Linked DNA regions of Coturnix japonica. The protein of the gene in region 1 purifies or fractionates together with the protein of each later gene. This does not show direct contact. Links are inferred from orthologs where the notes say so. Each region holds a gene or a part of one and is shown in the gene's direction. Other genes may lie near its edges. The genes, in order: RSU1 and PARVA.

Region 1 (2,612 bases):
AGCAGGGCTGTTTTGGGCACAGTGCGCCTTGACAGCAGCCTGCTCAGCAGCATGATGTACAGCTGCAGTTGCTGAGAAGGTGAAAACGAGCACTGCCTCTCCTCAGTGCTCTGCCAGAAGCTCTAATCCCATTATGCAATCCAAGAACCCCGAGGCTGAAGTATCCTCCAGGTGCTGCACAATAAAGCTCAGAGCAGGTGCAAGATTTTAACCTCCCAGCTCCAGCAGCTACAACCTCTCTGTGCCTGCCATAAATAGCTCCACCAGAGCCACACTGTGTAGCGTGGTAACTCAAGGGTATCTCTGTCTCTTTGGATTCTTGTTCAACGTCTCTTGCATGAAGTTGGCCACGTAGTCCACCAGGCCCTGTCTAAGAAGCTGGGCAATTCCTCTGCTTCTGAAAGTAGTTTCAGCCTGGAAAGTAGAAAAGGTGACTCAGGTAAAGAGTTGCTTTATCTCTGAGTTACACACTCGGGCCATTAGCCACTGCAGAACTATGAAGCTGAGTGCCAAAAGCGTAGTGACACAAGGGACCTGCACCTTTACCTTCTTCAGCAGCAGCAGCAGCAGTCCTCTCAGATTGCAGAAGTCAGTGCTCAGCCTCTTTGGCAACAGCCGAATGTGGCACGAAGGTGAGCTGTTAGCAGGGGGACACCTTCCAGGGGGATGTCAGTGTTTGTGTCACCATTCCAGCTGTTTGTACAGCTGAATGAGCAGAAACAAGGCCTGTCCCTGCTCCCTTCTGGGTACACTGACACCCCCGCATAGTGCATCTTCAGAAAGCACTGTGTGCGAAGAAGGGAAGTTAGGTTTGAGCTGTGCTTATTTTTGGTGCTTTTAATTTAGTTTCGTTAGGATTACTCATAAATTATCTATTAATTACTATGTGATATTTAGCAAGATCCTCTCAGCCATGTAGTCTATTTAGCATTGCTATGAATGCTTGCTGTCTTAATTGTAGGATACTTTGTCAACATTTAATCAGTGGTACTTACTAATATGGCAGTGATGTGTTGGTAGCTGTCCCAGTACTATCAATCATGTGTGAGCAGCAAAGAAGGCTGTGACACTATTGCTCTCTGTCACATTATCAAGCCCTTGGGTTTTCTGGTTAGGGATGATGCTCACTTTGCTTTAAGAGAGCACTCTATCTCTCCAGCTCAACCCAATTTTTGTCATTGTCGACTTGAATATGCGTCGTCACAGTGCTCTGTGCTTCAGTTCCATAACTGCCAAGGAAAGGCTGCTAGTTTCTGAAGGCAGAGCTGATTGCTCCAAAAGCCCCTACTCCTCCTGGTGTTACTCTGGTAAGTCACAAACAGACTGGTAATACGGACTGCAGCATGAGATCTTACAGAGGAATCAATGTGTTGAGACAAAATAAATGTAATGACCTTCCGTGGTTTTTTATTTCTAGTAACCATATGTCTCATTGAACACGCCGCAGATCAAAAGCTTGTATTTAATGGTTTGATAACAAATGTTCTTTGTCTCATTTCCTTGCAGTCTTTATGGCAGACACATGCAAGCGAACCCTGAACCTCCGAAGAAGAACAATGACAAGTCAAAGAAGATCAGCCGTAAGCCTCTCGCAGCCAGGAACAAATGAGTCTCCAGCTTGTGCCTCTGGTTTTATATATTTTTTTACGTTTCTTTTGCATGTGCCTATAATATTCCAGCACATCTCCTATTACTCATATTGTAAGGAAGCAGAGACTAGAGGTAAAAGCAATTTACCGCATGTGCTGCTTTAGAGGATACTGCTTAAGGAATACCAAATTACATAGTCTCCTAATTACGGTCACATTTATGTAGCCATTTAATATATCACTGTCAAACACATTTTAGCTTTTCTATTTATACACATGTTAATGCCCTCTGTTCACATGTATCACATCCTGTTAATATCAGGGGTTTGCACCTATATTATACGATATTAAATTTCACATCATATTCCAAACGATTTTAATAAAGGTCTCTATTTGTACTGCGCTTTGATTTCTTCAGTAGGACTTCGGAGCAGCAACGTTCGTGAAGAATGCACGTGTCCCGTTTCCTGCGATGCGTTCCTTTCTTCCATAGGAATATAATGACATTTTGTCTGATGTGAGTTAGTTAAAATTTAAAGCCTTCTGTTCGAGGACGTAACATTTTTAATCAGTTTCAATTTATTTTTTCCCATGGCTGTGCCCTGCATTTTTGCCTTGGAGGTTATTTTGAAACCAGAGAGTAAGGGAAGAGAAAGAGGAAAGAAAAAAAAACCTTATCTTTGTAAGGAGCTGCCAATTGCCAGCCTCAGTTTGGGGAAAGTGAGCTTTCTCATTTGAAGAAGATGGTACTTCTGCCAATTTTTTAAAGCAATTTTTTTTAAAGCAGAAGACCCAAATAATGTGTTTAATCTCTGCCATGAAAACGCTGTACTGAAGAGCTGTTCCAAATGGCTGTTGAAAATGCCACAGGTGCTATATTTATCCATACAAAACCCGCACCAAAACCAAGCTCAGAGGCTGCAGTTGTGAAGCGATTAAACAACAAATTGTTTAACATCTGAAACAGCTTCGGGTCTTATCGGTGTGAGGGAAAAATAATAATACAGACAGCGGTTTTCGAAT
Region 2 (3,830 bases), on another chromosome or scaffold:
CCAAGCTAAAGATCTGACCAGATACACTGTTTTATTTTGCAGCACAGTATCTGCAAGTGGATTATGTATTTAACTGTTTTGTTTTGTTCTGTTTTGTTTTGTTTTGTTTTCCATAGGGCATTTTCAGGAAGGCATGGTAAGTTCATTTCATTGTTATCTTCTTAAGTCATCCAAAGAGTACATCAGTTCTGGAATGAATGGTCAGTTTGATTAGTTTGCGAGGATTTAGAGGATTTCTAGTTGCCCTGGCAAATATATGAATATAGCTGCCACAGGATGTTCTGACAGTTAACAAAGGGAGAAAAGCATTGAAATCAGCGTGACCATCTTTAAAATGCATTTCAGTATTTCTCATCTCATGCTAGTCTGCAAGTGGTTTATGGTTTAGCCTCCAGAACATTATTGAAATAGTATTAATGATCATAAGCTCCTAGCATAATATTAAATGGTATCTTATGGTAAACTCACTGGTGAACATGTTGGCATTCTTGTATCCATTACCTGCTTACACTTTAATAACTTAAGGTCATTCTTCAGCGTGTTTCTGAGCCAGTAAGTCTCAAGGTTTGTACTGAGACTGGCCAAATGCCTGCCCAGCACAACACAGCCATCTGAGGAGCTTAGGTGGACACCCAGCTAGAATTCAGCATTTATTTCCTATATTGTCTCAGTTGTTGCCTTACTGCTGAGTTAAAGACTGGAGGCATGACATTTTCCCATGATATCTGAGAGCAGCCTTACTTCCTATAATGTCTGCCTTCTACAAATGCTCTTGGATGTACTCAGCATTTCTTTGACGAATATCAATGTAACTTTTTGTTGGGTCATTCTCTATCACTCATGTGGTTGTCCAAATGGCAATTGCTCTTTTTCTTTTCTCTCTTTTTTCCTCTTCAGAAGGTAACCACAGTGCTGCTGCAGTCATTTTACTTTATGTTGCCCGTCCTGCTAATCATGTCCTAAATTTCATGTCAGAATAGTCCAAAAACATGTATGCAAAAGATTTCTTTACAGCTGCGTAGTTGTAAGCTTGTTGAGGTGGTTAGTAACAGTGTAGCAGTCAGCTGAGCGATATATGCATATTGTGGCCTCTGGGGAAAATTTTCCTCTGTAGTAACTCCAGATGTAAAGTCATATTCTTCTGAACAAAATAAGTTGGTTACTTCAGCTCCCTGCATCTGGCTGTGTAAAGTTCAATGGATAAATATTCTACTCTTTGCTCATTTTTGAGAAACAAAGTTATTAAGTAGTCCAAGTTGTACTTGGAAATAGTGCTTTCTCCAAATAATAGAGAATAAGTTACAAGCAGCCTGAAGCAAGAGAGAAATATGCAAAATATATAGTACTTGGAATACAAAGGGACTATACTGAGACATTTTATTGATTCCGTTGTCTTAAACAATTGTGTGCTTAATCAAGTGTTTATCCTGTATTTGGACAAATGCTTCTAAGCATATTAACATCTCTGACTGTTTTTCAGAAAGAGATGCATTTGACACACTATTTGACCATGCTCCAGACAAGCTCAACGTAGTAAAGAAGGTTGGAATGATTCTATTTTAATAAGTACAGCTTGTGTCTACATGCTTGTGTGTGTATATGTAGTGTGAGTGTATGTATATAATATAAAATACTCATTGTTTGCATACATTAAATACAATTAAACTTAATGCTGAAAACAAAAATAGAGATTTATTATTATAATGTTTCTTTTTGATAGTATTTAGCAACATTAACTTAACTATGGAACACACAACAAAAAGTTTCTCAAAGTTTCCATCAAAAAGAAGTTCTTACTTCTTAGTGTGTGTTGATTAAAACCCAGCTGGGTTGGTTGAGTTTACTGATGCCAAAAAGGTATGGAGTTTACAACTGCCAGTAGCCTGACCTGGAGGATTTGGGCTCCTGTCAGATTCGAGTGAAGTCCAATTACCCACTTCCCTACAATCTGCCACAAGATAACTTTTTTGAAGCTGTTGTACTGTAACAGTGATTTTTTATTCATATACATCATGTTTATTTTATTTCAATTTATCATTATTTTTAAAAAAAAAATGTTTTTGAAAATCTCATAATTCAGTTATAGAGCCTAATTGTACCGCAGTCTCCTTGCTCTTGCAAGTTCTATTCTCAGTGCAGTATGTGCTCTGTGTCTGGAACAGGTGCTCAACTGAATAGACCTTCACTAAACTGTTTTCATGTTTCAGACTCTCATCACGTTTGTGAACAAGCATCTCAACAAATTGAATTTGGAGGTCACTGAACTGGAGACCCAGGTAGGATTTTGTAGCTTTTGTTGAAGGAGAGGGTCACTCATGCTGTGCAATGCACCGTGCCCCCAGCTTTATACAGAAATATAACTGAATTGTTATTGATCGTGCTCTGAGATGTTTTTTCAGTGGGAAACCCTTCAGTTTTAAATATATTCGTATGAGGAAAACCCTCACCAATTAAGCAGAAAAATCATAAGGGCAGCAACAGTTTTGTACTTTAATTAGCATAAAAATTAGTTAGCAGATGCTACCTCTTGGGTGCTGCTAAGTGCTGTAAGAAGAACATGTGCCTGTTTTGATCAGGAGAGGCTCTGTCTGCTCGGTTTGATACAGTTTCAAGATGAACAGTTGTTTCCTGCCTACCTTTACACTAGCAAGTAATCTCATGGGATTACAATGGTTCTATTCAGTGAGATGCATTCTTGAGACAGAAGCTGCTTGAGTGTATAGGCAGCTGTACAGTTGAGCTGCAGGCTTGATTGCACCACAGAAATAATGTAGTGCATGGTCTTCTTTTCCTGTTCTCAGATGCTAAATTGGCTAGAAAGTAGCTAAAAGAAAAGCTTTATTCTGTGGTATGAAAAAATCCCTATATGAACAATTGCAGCAAGAGGTCAGACAGGAAGGAGGCTACCCACACTAGAAGAAAAAACTGGTGTCTTCACAACAGGCTTTATTTAATGTCTTGATATGTGCTATTAAGGATCTCTGATTTATCTGACTTACTTTCACTCTGATAGAGGTTTTTTAAAGGTAAAATTGAGTTTTAGATGGAAAGGATCTGTAAGGGCTTTCAGACAAATGTTACTGTGCTTGCATATTGCATGGAAAAAAAAGGAAGTGTTATTCAAACATGCCTGGAAACACCTGAAGCATATATCCAAAAAGTACTCCCTAAGGTGAGAGGTCGTAGTTCTGTTGGTTGAACCAAAATAAGCTACCTCAGGAAGATAGAATGATAGAATCAATTAGACCCTTAAGATCAAAAAATGCCACCACTAAGCCATGTCCCTTAGTACCACATCCTCTTAAGTACCTCCAGGGAAGCTGACTCCTCCACTTCCCTGAGCAGCCTGTTCTAACACCTACCTGGCCATCTTTTCTGTGTAAAAGTTCTTCCTGCTATCCTGCTGAAATCTCCCCAGTGCAACTTGTGGGCATTTCCTCGTGACTTATCCCTGAGGAAAGAGACTGACACCCACCTCGCTTACCGTCTCCCTTCAGATGATTGTTTCCTTCTGGTATCTCAGAGTTTCATTATAGTAGACAATGCCATAGGGTTACGAGTGAGATGCCTTGAACGAAGTCTCATGAATGCTGTTATTTTTTAAATAGAGATAAATGTAGAACGTGAAAATTATCATTCTTTATTCCTTTATTTCCTTCAACATCCTGAATTTCAATGTAGTCATCAGGCTGCACCTTGGTTGTGCTTTTCTCCGCTCAGAGAATGCATGCTGTTTGATAGCTTGAAAACTGGTTGTTCTGATTTCCTGCAACTAACAGAAGAGAAAACAAAAACGCAGATCAATGTCACTGACCGTTGCTTTCTGCAGT

The links.
Region 2: the proteins of RSU1 (region 1) and PARVA purify together in Homo sapiens (affinity purification with mass spectrometry; 3 studies listed by BioGRID and IntAct, counting the BioPlex papers as one, with this or other methods). This does not show direct contact. The link is inferred for Coturnix japonica from reciprocal best matches to the Homo sapiens genes RSU1 and PARVA.

Annotation. Positions count from the first base shown.
Region 1 is NC_029517.1:18,291,074-18,293,685, forward strand, and holds the end of RSU1 (ras suppressor protein 1), read left to right. Parts: intron 1-1,506; coding exon 1,507-1,609; 3' UTR 1,610-1,987; downstream 1,988-2,612. UniProt on the Homo sapiens protein: Potentially plays a role in the Ras signal transduction pathway. Capable of suppressing v-Ras transformation in vitro.
Region 2 is NC_029520.1:12,245,363-12,249,192, reverse strand, and holds part of PARVA (alpha-parvin), read left to right. Parts: intron 1-116; coding exon 117-136; intron 137-1,480; coding exon 1,481-1,542; intron 1,543-2,207; coding exon 2,208-2,276; intron 2,277-3,830. UniProt on the Homo sapiens protein: Plays a role in sarcomere organization and in smooth muscle cell contraction. Required for normal development of the embryonic cardiovascular system, and for normal septation of the heart outflow tract.